Rhinolophus ferrumequinum: one gene and its partner. The protein of the gene in region 2 interacts with the protein of the main gene of each other region in a pairwise test. Links are inferred from orthologs where the notes say so. Each region holds a gene or a part of one and is shown on either strand. Other genes may lie near its edges.

Region 1 (6,660 bases), on a different chromosome or scaffold from region 2:
CAGAGATAAAGAAGAAAAAACATTTATGCCAGATAACATACACCAGGGCTATTTTTCATTAATTGAATCAGAAGTTTTGTCTAGGCTAACAAAATAAAATGAAGATGTTTTTATAGAGTAATATGTCCTTGTTTAAGCTAAATAATAGACTCACTTATTGATCAGTTATTAATTATAATTCTAAAACAACTTTTTTATGGTGGGTCATTGAATTGGGTATTTCCCAGTCTTGGTTTTAATAGGTATTTGCTGGATAATTTAGAGACTACACCTGAGAGGCTTGTTTGATGATAATCACTCAAGTCCTATTGAATTGCCTTTGTGAATCAGCTGAAGGCAATACTTATCAACAGGAAAATGTCAAATATCATGGGCGGTGAGGTGGTACCATCTCCTCCCTGGAAACATGATTAATTTCAGAGAGGCACTAGGGCTTTTTATGCGTTGTTTTCCAGAGTTTATTCAGATTTGTTGTTGGAACTGAGGGCCTAAATCAAAGAGGGAGGACAGAGAGGAACTCCTTGAACTCTGCCAAGGGCTTTAACTACTTTTTCTCCTTAATTTACTCCTTACAACAAGCGTACAAATCAGTAACCCCATGTTATAAATGGAAGTCCTACAGGCTAGAAAGATTAAATGACTTGCTAAATTTATAATGTTAGTAAGTGGTGGAGATATTCATTCTGACTCTGGAGCCCCCTAAATCATAATGTGATGATTAAATGGATGTGCTGTATTTGTCCATTTGAAAAAGTAAACGTGGAATATTCAAACACAAGACAGTTATCTGTTGCTGAATGATATTTTATTAGCTTAATAATTTGGGCCTGCCCTTAGCATTAATAAACTTCAGCACTAGTCACAAGATTTCCATTCACTGGTGGGGAAAGTTTTTTGTTTTAAAAAATGCAATTAGAGAGAGGGCATCTACTTCTTGGAGGCTGCAGTGACAGCAGGCTTATCTTCACGGGTGATGGGAATGGTGCGCTCGGGGCCAGAGGCCTGTTTCCTTGGTCCATTCACGGTGAGGACCCCATCAGATGACAGGGACGAAGTAATGGCTAGAGGGTCCACATCCGCTGGAATCCGGTATTTCCTGTGGAACTCCCGGGAGATGAAACCATGTTCATCCTAATCCAAGAGAACAAGGAAAGAGGCAGAGAGATAAGAACAGGAAAATAGCACCACTTGCTTAGAACTCAAACATCCTCCTTCCCCTTAGGAATGACCAATACTGTGGCAACATGAAAAAAAGCTGTCCTTTTTGGGACGAAGAAGAAGCTGCCTAGGTGGTCACTCCTACCAATGAGAATCTGAGAAGTCTGAAACAGGCAAAACTTCATAACCCGGAGGCATGGATATGTTTAGATGTATTTCCCAGAGGATTAGATCTATGTTTGTTGGGCCTACAGGATTTGGAATATCATCCGGCATTGAAGATCTGAATCCCTAAGGAAGCTTAGAAATTGTCTTGACTCTTCAGGGAAGGTCCCAGAATGTTCCAGGCCAATAGGACTGCTACCATTAGGGGAAAAAAAAAAAAAAAAAAAAAAGACTCCATCCAGGGAGACTCTGACCCAAACTAAAATCATACACACAAAACAGAAACAGGCGGAGGGACTAAAACTGTACTGTTTGATGAATAAGGTTCTCAGTTATCACCAATTGGTAAGAAGCAAACCCATCAAAAAACCCTCCCAGAAAGTGATGAGAAGTTATTCCATCCTTGAGTATTCTGCTAAAGAGCAGTGGACCCTAACCCTTATATCTGCTGAATCTCAAGCATTTATCCAGACAGGCTCTTAATTAACTGATTTCTACATGGGCTCTACAGTATTAGGAGCTGAGTACAGCTCTGAAACTTAGGCAGACCGTGTAGTTCAGGACTAAGAAGGGCTAAACAGAAAAGGATTCCTGAACATCTAAAAGAAAAGTCCCAAACTCAAGAGCCTTCGGGGTACATGCAGTTAATGTAATTATGAAAAGCAACCAGGTGTCGGACAAGCACTATGCCTAAGTCAGCGGTCTTCATCCTTGACTGTACATTAGAATTACCTAGGGAGCTTTATAAAAATGTTGATGCCTAGGTTCCATCCCTAAAAATTCTGATTTAATTGGTCTGAGATAAACCAGAGCACTGGAATTTTTTACAATTCCCTTTGTGATTCTAACGTGGCTAAGGTTTCGGACCACTGGCTTAAATGGGAAGCCCATTTGTCCTATCTAAGGCAATCAAATCAAAACAAACAACGGATCATGTCTCTGGCCAAAACAACAACAACAACGCCAGGTCTATCCCTGTTCCAGACCCTAATGGTTTAGGACTGAAATGTTGCCAGCCTCAAAGGCTGATGGTATGTATATAGTATGCCCTGAATGAATGAACAGTAGAGAAAACAAGCTGCATACCTGGCGCTCTTCATGTTTGCCGTGCACCTCAATCACATCTCCCAGCACCTTGACCTTGAGTTCCTCTGGGGAGAAGTGCTTCACATCCAGGTTGACAGAGAATCTGTCCTTCTCCAGACGCATCTAGAAATAGTAAGGTGGAGAGGAGGGGGTAGGAGAAAAATATGGTAGGAATGTGGATAAGTAGTGCAGTCTTACCATTCTGCTGACTTGCTTTCTAGGCAGGTAATTTAGTCTCCTCTTTTTGGCAAAAAAATTCCTTTTTAAATAAACATGATTCTCTGGTTTAGGGGAGCCACCACAGTGGTACCCAAGGCACAGCACTTGGTCATCAGGATCAAACTTTATTTACAGGGACAGGGAAGACAACAGGCCACCCAGGGGGAATAATCACAAGGATGGGTCTGGGCCTGGCTTCTACTGCCTCTCTGACCCCAATGCCTGGCCTTGTCATTTGTCTGTTAGACAAAGGCCTCTTCTTCTTGCTCAGGTCTCTGCCAAGTTTCCCACCCACTCAATCTGGAATGTTGTGCTGGCCATGATTGTCTTTCCAAAGCCCTTGCCCACTCAGCTCCTATTTATTCACACTTGAATATTTTTAAACTAGAGTGTTATCTGTGACGGCTTCTGTCCACCTTGTATGTTCACTCCATTCTCTCGCCCTCTTAGGACAAGTGGGGGTCCTAAGACTGGACCTACATCTTTCCTCCTTAGGCTTAGACCCAGGCCAGTGCCCTGTCACAGCCCTGAGAAACTCAGAAAATCACAGAAGAGGGAGTAAGAAGGAAGAAAATAGCGGTTGCTGTCTCCAGCTCCATTCAGTGGGGATGACAAACTCACAATGAGGTAGGGCTGTCTCCTGGTCTGAAACTTAAGATGATAAAATTTGTCAGGAGTATGAGGTATTAGAAATGGTGAGCAAAGGAGTTTGAAGGCAGCTCTTTCCCTGTAGATACTTATGAACAAAACCAGAAAGGGGCATCCTTCTTAGAAGTTAGGGTATGGATGATCTTCCTAGCACATGGGAAAGATGTAGTAAGTAGGATATAGAGAAGCATCAAAGACAAACAGGTGACTGGGGGAGAGACAGAGGAACTAGTAACCTCATCTTTCTTCGCTGCAGGACACGCAATTGCGTAAGAGATTTAGGACACTTAGACATAGCCAGATTTAGACAGACAGGAGAAGTAGAGCAGACAGACATTTTTCCAGAAGGTTCAGGAAGAACTCTCCTGTCCTACAGAGGGGAGACTTACCTCTGAGAGCCCAGTGTCAACCCAGCTGGGTGCCCGCAGGAATGAGGGCAGCCGAAAGTAGAAAGGGCTCAGGGAAGTAGAAGGTGGGAAGAAATCAGACTCCAACAGGTGCTCTCCAAAGAACTGGTCAAAGAGGCGGCTGGGGGAGTGGAAAGGAAAGAAGGGGCGTCGGATCCAGGGGTGGTGAATGGCAATATCCATGGTGGCTTTTTGACTGCTGGGGGTCAGCTGGCTGGTCAGCTCCTTCAGCTGCAGCTACAACCAGCGCTTTATATATGCAGTCTTGTGAAGCTTCTGGAACGGTGATGTCAGGGGTTTTATTATCCTAGCTCACCACCCGTTCATAGAGACTTGTGATCGGAGATTTGGCAGTGTGACACATACCCAGTACTCACTGAGCTAAGAAAAGAGAAATACAAACACGTCTGAGCTGTCCAGTGACTTGCCCTGGACTTGTTTCACTAGCTTTCTGCCCACACCCTATCCCCCCCACCCCGTCCCTCCCGCCCCCCTTGACTGGGACAGAGTCAAGAATCCCAAGCAGGCAGGAGGTGTGCCCCTCCTCCTCTCCAGCCTAGGGAGCCAGGGGAATCCAGCCAGCAACTATCTTGGGCCTGGGCAGGAACTGGAATCTTCCTTGGCTGGGCCCCAGAGACATTAACTCTTTGTGGGTCCCTGGAGGAGAGCAGTGATCACCAACATGTCTGTGGCAGGCATCTGTGTGGTGCTCAAAGTTGATGTGGGTTCAGGTAAGGACCCTGACATTAATCTGGGCAGGAAGAGCCCTCACCCCACCCCAAAGAGAAGGAAGAAAAGTGTTCCTCTTTCACCTTATAAGGCTGGCAGAACATTAAATCCAGGAGAGCTTTATGAAGTGGGGTGCGACTGAGGAGGAGAAAAGGTGGCGTGGACAATGTGCAAACTGTGAGGGTCTCAGCGAGGCCTCTCTAGGGCCTCTAATGCTAGCCACCGCTCCCCAGCTCGCTCCCCAGCCAGGACCCCCAGCTGTCCTCTGGAGTCCCCTGCGACAGCTGAAGGGTGTGCAGGGGAGGGGGCGGGGGTCCAGGCAGCGCTGGTCACACACTCTTGGCTGGCGCTCAGGGCCCCGCTGCCCGCCCCTCCCCGAGGCTCGAGGCTCGACACTATTTTGGGTGGTGTAGACCCCGCCCCCACCTCGGACCGAGCCCTGGCTCTCCAGGCAGCTGGTGGGGTCTCGGTGCACCTCGGACCGGGGCCTCTGACACGTCTGCAACCATGTCGGGCCGCTCGGTGCCACATGCCCACCCAGCCACCGCCGAGTACGAGTTTGCCAACCCGAGCCGCCTGGGTGAGCAGCGCTTCGGAGAAGGTATGGCACAGCCGCCACTTCCTTGCCTCCCACCCCCACCGCCTGAAATTCTGGGCTGACCTCCCAACGGTGCTGGCCTCCACCCCACTCCGGGCTTAACTGAACTCCTGGGGCGAGCCATCTCCCACCCCAGCTCCCCCCTCACTCCCTCCAAGCAGGGCTCTTTTCCCTTTCTACTGACCTCAGAGTAGAGGTGGTAAGAGCAGTGCTCTGACACCTGCCCCCTGCCCCCCTAAGGATGCCTCTTGTTCCCCTTCTGTTTACCCAGTTCTGCTTTGGTTTGCCCTCCTCTGCCCCCATCTCATTTCCTTTCTCAATCCCTTCTCCCCGTTGCCTCCTTCTAGTCGCTGTGTCCCCCACCCTCTCCCCTTACCTACTTCTGACTCCCCTCCTGCTCTCCCCAGTCCTCATCTCTCATTTCACCCCGTTCCTACCTCATGCTCCCTCATCCTGCCTCTTGCCTTCTCTTTCTCTGCCCCTCAGGCCTCCTACCAGAAGAGATCCTGACCCCCACCCTCTACCATGGCTACTATGTCCGGCCCCGGGCCACCAGAGCTGGGGAGGGCAGCAGGGCAGGGGCCTCCGAGCTCAGGCTCAGTGAGGGCAAGTTCCAGGCATTTCTGGACGTGAGCCACTTTACCCCAGATGAGGTGACCGTGAGGACTGTGGACAACTTGCTGGAGGTGTCTGCCCGGCACCCCCAGCGCCTGGACCGCCACGGCTTCGTGTCCCGAGAGTTCTGCCGCACCTATGTCCTGCCTGCTGATGTTGACCCCTGGCGGGTCCGTGCTGCTCTCTCGCATGATGGCATCCTTAACCTGGAGGCGCCTCGGGGTGGCCGACATTTGGACACTGAGGTCAATGAGGTCTATATCTCCTTGCTCCCTGCACCTCCTGATCCGGAGGAAGAGGAGGAGGCAGCCAGAGTTGAGCCCTGAGTGCCACAGACCCAGCACCCAGCACTTTCTCCCTCGTGCAATGATATGAGCAGCTGCCACCACCGGAGAGGCAGCAGCATCCTTGGGGGAATGGAAAAGTGCATGGGCCACAATGTATGGTTTGGTCCCTTGGGACATGTCCTAGTCTTTGGTTTAGTTCTGGGTGGAGCTGAATAAACCCAAATCTCAGGGCCTTGTTTGTGCCGCTCCCTATTCTGTGGCCTGGAGGAGGGGGTGGGCAGGGAGGGAAGAGGTCTCATAGCCATCTAGAGAAAATGCTCCTCAGTTAGGTGTACCCAGCACTACAGAACCCTGAGCTCGCACTTGGATGCTGAGGTCACACCCAGAAGCTAACACTGGCTCCAGATTAAATTCCTAGCCATAATTTTCTCACAATGCAACAAAAGAGAGAGTGATCCTGGGAGGGAAAAGGGATATGCCATCCAAACAGCCCAGAGGGCACTGTCTGAGCTGGTGATTAGAAACACAAAAACAAGGGTCTCCAGACTGTCTGGCTTATTTGGGGTAGGGGTTGGGAAAGCAGGTTTTGGCTGGAGAGGATTGCCTACAGCCCTGTTTTCCCATCCTGAGGTCTGTCCACTGAAAATGGTCTCTGATTCTGAAGGACCAAGTATGTATACACAAGGGTACAGACGCAGAAATCTCTGCCATTATCACCAAACCACTATCCTCCGCACAGGGGAGGCCC
Region 2 (7,272 bases):
CAAATAGCAGACAGTTCTTCCAAGACGGGACATGTAGGCTCCACAGACTCCTGTGGCCACCTCGTGGGTATCCCTTCCCCCCTGCGTTCCCATGCCTGTCAGTTTCCCTGGGTGGCGGCCTCTCTTCCAGGAGGTCTGGGCCATGTCTGATGGCCTCCTGGGGAACCAGGTTGGGGAGGAAGCTTGCCAGGGGCTGATTGCCTTCTCCCAACCCCCACGGTCTCCTTTGGCAGCGGCTGATCGACAAGACCAAGGTGACATATCTGAAGTGGCTGCCTGAGTCGGAGAGCCTGTTCCTGGCATCACACGCCAGCGGCCACCTGTACCTGTACAACGTCAGCCACCCATGTGCCTCGGCACCGCCCCAGTACAGCCTGCTGAAGCAGGGGGAGGGCTTCGCTGTCTACGCTGCCAAGAGCAAGGCGCCCCGCAACCCACTGGCCAAGTGGGCGGTGGGCGAGGGGCCCCTCAACGAGTTTGCATTCTCGCCCGATGGCCGGCATCTGGCCTGTGTCAGCCAGGACGGCTGCCTGCGCGTCTTCCACTTCGACTCCATGCTCCTTCGGGGGCTCATGAAGAGCTACTTTGGGGGCCTGCTCTGCGTGTGCTGGAGCCCCGACGGGCGCTACGTCGTGACAGGTGGTGAGGATGACCTGGTCACCGTGTGGTCCTTCACTGAGGGCCGCGTGGTGGCCCGTGGCCACGGCCACAAGTCCTGGGTCAATGCTGTGGCCTTTGACCCTTACACCACGAGGGCTGAGGAGGCGGCAGCCGCCAGTGGTGAGGGGGAACCGAGTGGTGAGGAGGAGGAGGAGGAGGAGGAGCCAGAGGCCACGGGCCCAGGCTCGGGAGGGGGAGCCCCCCTGTCGCCGATGCCCAAGGCCGGCTCCATCACCTACCGCTTTGGCTCCGCTGGCCAAGACACGCAGTTCTGCCTGTGGGACCTCACCGAAGATGTGCTTTACCCACACCCACCCTTGGCTCGCACCCGCACACTTCCCAGCACGCCTGGCACCACACCACCTGTCGCCAGCAGTTCTCGGGGTGGCGAGCCAGGCCCCGGGCCCCTGCCACGCTCGCTGTCCCGCTCTAACAGCCTTCCTCACCCAGCGGGCAGTGGCAAGGCGGGCGGCCCAGGCGCGGTGACAGAGCCAGGCACGCCATTCAGCATCGGCCGTTTCGCCACACTCACGCTGCAGGAGCGGCGAGACCGGGGCGCTGAGAAGGAGCACAAGCGCTACCACAGCCTGGGCAACATCAGCCGGGGGGGCGGCGGGGGCAGCAGCAGCGGGGACAAGCCCAGCGGCCCCGTGCCCCGCAGCCGGCTGGACCCAGCCAAGGTGCTGGGCACAGCGCTGTGCCCGCGCATCCATGAGGTGCCGCTGCTCGAGCCCCTGGTGTGCAAGAAGATCGCCCAGGAGCGGCTAACGGTCCTCCTGTTCCTGGAGGACTGCATCATCACCGCCTGCCAGGAGGGCCTCATCTGCACCTGGGCCCGGCCGGGCAAGGCGGTGAGTCAGCCACTCCAGCCAGCCTGGGACCCAGGAAGAGGCGGGTATTGGCAGAGGACTTTGTCACTGTCACAGCCTCTAGCCCTGTGGGATGAGGGGAAGCCATGGAAATCTTAGGGTCTCAGATCTTAGAGTGACAGGCTCCAGAACCCTTGGTGACAATAAGGAGAGTGGGTCAGTTAGAAGAGACAGCTGGGAGTGAGCCAGGCTATGAATGAGCCCAGCATGGCCAGGTCTTAACACTTGTTACTTGAAGCTGGGTCTGTATTTCTATGGAAAATACTATTTTTCTAAATAAATCTTTTTGCATATTGTGGGTCAAACTCTGGGCAAGACTGAGCCTTGGGCCCAGCTTCCAGCCTGGGTCTGGACTGTTGGGGTCTGAGACCACTGCTGAAGGCACGGACTGTGGAATCCCAGGCTCGGGGTCCAGTCCTGCTCTGCTCCCTGTGTGACTTCGGGCAAGTCCCTAGTCTCCACTTAGGACAGGGAAGCTCGAAGATGGCTGGATGGGTAGGGATGCGTCCAGCTCCTGGGGTGGCCTTGTGGTTCAGGAAAACCCCGGGAGGTGGAGCACAGGCCTGGCACCTCGTAACCTTGGCGCTCTGGGCTCCTGTCTTGAGCTCCTCGGGGTCTGGGCTCGGGCGCACAGGATACCAGGTCTGACAGCCATGGCTTAGTTCCTCAGAAGAGCGGTTTTGGAATCATAAGGTTCTGTATCCCTAGAACTTACAGCCCAGTCTCAGAGCCTCAGAAGTGGGGCATTGGGATTTGGGGAGTCTGGCAAGTCCTGAAGGAGACCCCTCTATCTCCCTAGTTCACAGACGAGGAGACCGAGGCCCAGGCAGGGGAAGGAAGTTGGCCCAGGTCACCCAGCAAGTCAGTGGTAGAGGTAGGACTGTCCCTGAGTTCTCTCCCCCCCAGAATCTCAGGACACCCCCTCAGTCAGAAGGGGACCCCAGTTTCCCCTCTCTTCCCCACCTCCTCCTCCACCCTGTCCCCTCTGCTCAGGATCACCTGAGTACTTTAATTATTGTATAAAAGTGCCGCCTGCTGAGACAAGGAAGCTAGCGGAGATGTAAGTTTCTGAGCCTAGAGCAGCGGCCTCTGGAGGGTGGGGGGGTCTGGGCTGGCCGAACCCCACATGGTCTCTAACCCCTCCTATCTCCCCTCTCATCTTCCCCAGGGCATCTCCTCTCAAGCAGGCAACTCCCCAAGCGGCACAGTGGTGTGAAGCCATGGATGTCGGGGTCCCCCACCCCACCCCCCGCTCCTAGCCATAACTCCCTGCTGACCTCACGGATCAACGGATTAACAAGACTAACCATGACGGATGGACTGCTCCGGTCCCCCATTATGCACAAATTTGGGGGGCAGAGGGTCCCCAGACTGGCCCAGACCCTGGGGGGATGTAGTGGCCTGTGTGGCCTCAGCCTGTCCCCACCCACTGCCAAGTACAATGACCCTTCCTCTGAAACATCAGTGTTAGCTTCATCCCTGTCCCCAGCATGTGACTGGTCACTCCAGGGAGGCGAGAAGCTCCCCACTCACAAGAGCCCCAGCTCTGCCGTGTGCCCCTCATCTGTGGGCAGGGCAGGGGTGGCCCACCCCTCCCTTGGCCCTGCCCCCCTTGCTGTTGTTTGTGCTTTTAAAGAGTGTTAAGTTATGGAAGCCCCTTGGGGCCCTCCCTATCCCCAGCACCTCTTATTTATACTAAAGCTCCCTGTTTTCTCAGTGTAGCGTCTCTTCCTTCAGTGGCAGTGTGGAGGAAGTGTGTGTGTGCTTGCACTGCGTTGCCTGATCAATCCACTTTCACCAGGGAGCAGCCAGGCCCTGCATCCCCCACCACCCTCACCTCTCCCGCCCCCTTTTAATAGCAGGAAAAACGGAAGGCAGGAGGAGGGACGCCCTCTTCAAAGTCCTCCCCGGGAGTTTGCAGAGTTGTTTGAAAATGCCCAAGCTGTCCAAATCAGAAATGACAGGGCCTTCCTAGGTGGGGTCCCACAGGCAGCTCCCAAGGCCTAGCGTGAGTGGCCTTGAGCACAGGTCTGCTGCCTCAGGGCCTGGCTCGCCTAGCCTGCCAGCGACCATGGCTTCCTCCCGGAGAACTGTCCGTCCTGGAAAGGACAACGAAATCCCTCCTGGCTGGCTCTCCCGTTCCGCCCTCCACCCCCCGAAATGTTTCTGTTTCTAATCCTAGCCTGGGCAGGAATGTGGCTTCATGCCAGGGGCCAAGGAGCTATTTTGGGGTCTCCTTTGCCTCCTCCAGGCTTTGGCCAGTGGATCACCCCCGGTCCTGGCTCCTGAGGGCCTCCCTTCCCGATTCTTTCACCACCCCTTCCCCACCTCCTGCCAAAAAAAAGTCAGTGTAAAGCAGAGGGCCTGAGGGCTAAATTTAAACTGGCCCAAAGTCTGAATCTGGGGCTGAGTCACCCGCAAAGCTGCCCTGGCCTCCTGTCCCCCTTCCCAGGCCTCACCCCTTTCTCCTCCCCCCAACTCCAGGGCTTGGGAGGGGTGTTACCAGGTAACTCTGGACCTCAGTAGGCCCCCTCTGGGGAATGGGAGGGCTCATGTTTGGCCTGTCACACCTGTAGCGTTCCTTTGTGCTCCGCCTTTTTATGGGCTGGGTGTGTATTGAGTGTTGAGATTCTCCACCCCCTTAATCTCACGGAAGCGTTCTGGGGGGCCTGGCTTATCAGGGGTTAAGGCAGGGAGGGGGCCGGCCGAGGGGAGGGGAGAGGGGAGGAGGCCTTTGCAGCCAGCAGAGAGAAGTGGCCAGAGAGGCCCAGGGGACAGCCAGGGACAGGCCGACATGCGGCCAGGGCCCCAGGGCCTGGACAGGGGCTGCCAGGCCCCGTGACGGAGGACCCCGAGCCCCTGGAGGGGCCATGGTGTTGCCTGCCCGACATGTCAGCCGAGGTGCGGCTGAGGCGGCTCCAGCAGCTGGTGCTGGACCCCGGCTTCCTGGGGCTGGAGCCCCTGCTCGACCTTCTCCTGGGCGTCCACCAGGAGCTGGGCGCCTCCGACCTGGCCCAGGACAAGTACGTGGCCGACTTCTTGCAGTGGGGTGAGTGCCTGCTGGCATGGGCTCCCCCACATTGGGAGGGTGAGGGCAGGGCAGAGGCAGGAGATGGGGTCGGGCTCTCAGGGGTATCAGGATAGTTATGGGGAGAGATCGTTCAGGGGCCCAGAGCTTGGACCTGGGTCCTGGGGTGACATGCCCCTACCTTTGTGCCACCCTGGCCAGGCAGAGTGGGGTCAGCAGAGTCCAGGGCAGCCATGACTCAGAACCATGATTTGGGAGCCATGGTAGGCTGGGCTGGGAAGTCTCTCATGGCCCCCCCCCAAGCATCCCCTTCCCCGAGTCTAGGCCTAGGGACATGCTGGGAGCCCCATCTCCTAGAACCCCCACACACCAAAACGGGCCCTGTGGCCTCAACCCTGGCTTCCCAGAGCATGGGCTAGCAGAAGGGATAGGATGGGGCAGCTGCCAGGGGTGCGGCCGGCAGGCAGGTGTTCGGCGCCAGCCTCTCCAGCTGCCCCAACAGGTGCCCAGGCACTGGGAGGGTGCAGTGACTCAGGCAGGCCCTGGGGGAGAACCAGCTCTGCAGACAGGCACCACCCAGCACCCCCTCCACCCCTTGGATGAAGGACCCCTCCCCCATTGGTCTTGGTCCCTCCTAGTCTGCATGTGCCAGCCTTAAACTCCCCTCCAGCTCCCCAGGTCCTTTCATTCTAGTTCATGACCTCCAGCTTTCCAGCTCTCCCCAAAGCCCCCTCTTGCCAGGCCTTTCCCTGGAGAAAGGCCCAGAGGGAAGATGCTACAACCTCAGCCTCCTGTGTTGTCTGCTCACATGCTCTCCTGGCCCAGGACTCAGACTCACTGGAGTTTCTCTGTGACCCCTGCCACTGTACCTCCACTGATCTGTCCCTCAGTGACTTGCTCTTGGTCCTGAGGTTCTTGTGTGTCCCTAGTTCTCTCCGTCCCTCTGTTTCCTCTCTCTGCCTTGTCCTGCTCCCTCTTTACTTGTGTCCATGTCTTTGGGACCCAGGCCCTGCTCCTGTCCGTCCCCCTCCCATTTTCAAGATAGGAAGGTGGAGGTCAAGGGCCAGGCCACTCAGCCTCTGGAAAAACCTTCTCTCCACCTTCCCCCAGCCCTTAGCAACTCTCTTAGTCCCCCTTTTGCAGAGGACTGGCAGGGTAAACTGAGGCTGAGGTGGGGGCAGGGGTCCGGCTCTCCCCTGAGGAGCACTCCTTTTGTGGCCCGAGCAGCATCCTACGGCCCCTCCCCTGTGGGCTGCCAGGGCGGGGGAGGGGGCCTGGGTTCCCGCTGCCTTAAAAGGGCTCAATGTCTTGGCTCTCTCCTCCCTCCCCCATCCTGGGCCCTGACTGTTTCTTCCCTGACGGCCCACTCTCCCCGAACCCCATGGGGGCCCCCTCTGCCCTCCATAACTCACTGTATCACCCCTCATTCCTACTTGCACCCATCCCTCTCTCCACCCTGCCTCCGAGTTCCCCAGAGGCTTCTACCCCCAGGGGGTCCAGGTTTCCCTCTCTGTGTCCCTGAGTCTCCTGCCTCCACCCCCAGGCTCCCTATTCCCAACCTGCTCTGTTTAACATTCTTAGCTGTAAGACCTTGGACAAATAACTTCACCTGTCTGAGCCTGGAGTCCCCATCTGTAAATAAGGGATAATAATAGAGTGCTCCTCCTGGAGTTGAGAGAGAGGACTTTGAGAACACTTGAACCGGCCTGGCGCCCAGATGCGGTCACTCTCTCCTAGTTCTCTTGGCCCTCTGCCCCCAAATCCAGTGTTTCCCAAAGTGTGGTCCAAGAGCCACCTGACTCTGAACCTAGAGGAACTGGATAAAACTGCATGTTCCAGAATGGACTGAGAGAAGCCTGGAGTGGGCCGGGCTTTCCCCATCACTCTGAGTTGGGGTGGGGGCCTGAAGCCCAGGGAGTACTGGGCCTATTCTTCCTGCATTCTTCAGGGCCTCCCTTCTGCAGACTTGCCTTCCTCCCCATCATCCTGCTCCCACAAATCCCTCTGGCCCAATGCCTTGTTCAAAAAAGGGGTTCCCAGGCACCCCACCTTTCTCTGTAGGAGGGCTGTTTTGCGGCCACAAAACCTCACACAGTGTGTGGGAAGCCCTTGGGAAGCAGACAGTCCTAAAGGGAGGGGCAGAGGGAAGGGGACACTGAGGGACAGAGAAAGGGGGAGACCGAGAGACCCAGGACAGAACGAGGGGCAGGGAGACTGAGGGCCAGAGGGTGGGACTTCTCCTCGTCTCCAGTGTCAGTCCCAGTGACCCTCAGTTCTCGTCGCCCCCCGCCCCCCAGTGGAGCCCATCGCGACAAGGCTTAAGGAGGTCCGGCTGCAGAGGGAAGATTTCGAGATTCTGAAGGTGATCGGACGCGGGGCGTTCAGTGAGGTGAGCCCTGAGGTGTGGTGGTTGCTCCGCTTGGCGGGAGCCTCGACTTTCGGTGCTTTGGGAGGGAGGCAGGAGTTTGGGGCGGGGCCTTAGAAATTGATGAATGAGTTTAGAACCGGAGACCAGCAGGGGATGGGGGCGGGACTTGAGGCCAGTGGGCGTGATGTGGCTGGTGGGCGGGGTTTAGGGTGGAGTGCCGTCTGAGCCAGCCTGTTTGCTCCTCCGCCACCTCCACCCAAGTCACCCCGTTTCAACCTTCAGGTAGCGGTGGTGAAGATGAAGCAGACCGGCCAGGTGTACGCCATGAAGATCATGAATAAGTGGGA

The links.
Region 1: the proteins of DMPK (region 2) and HSPB2 interact in a two-hybrid assay, tested with the Homo sapiens proteins (2 studies listed by BioGRID). The link is inferred for Rhinolophus ferrumequinum from reciprocal best matches to the Homo sapiens genes DMPK and HSPB2.

Annotation. Positions count from the first base shown.
Region 1 is NC_046294.1:80,287,643-80,294,302, forward strand, and holds HSPB2 (heat shock protein beta-2), read left to right. Parts: upstream 1-4,508; 5' UTR 4,509-4,919; coding exon 4,920-5,013; intron 5,014-5,496; coding exon 5,497-5,951; 3' UTR 5,952-6,158; downstream 6,159-6,660. Other genes in the region: CRYAB (alpha-crystallin B chain), read right to left, coding at 928-1,131, 2,410-2,532, 3,666-3,866. UniProt on the Homo sapiens protein: May regulate the kinase DMPK.
Region 2 is NC_046298.1:42,059,079-42,066,350, reverse strand, and holds the start of DMPK (myotonin-protein kinase), read left to right. Parts: upstream 1-4,243; 5' UTR 4,244-4,418; coding exon 4,419-4,578; intron 4,579-6,854; coding exon 6,855-6,946; intron 6,947-7,207; coding exon 7,208-7,272. Other genes in the region: DMWD (dystrophia myotonica WD repeat-containing protein), read left to right, coding at 234-1,511, 2,329-2,403, 2,698-2,745. UniProt on the Homo sapiens protein: Non-receptor serine/threonine protein kinase which is necessary for the maintenance of skeletal muscle structure and function.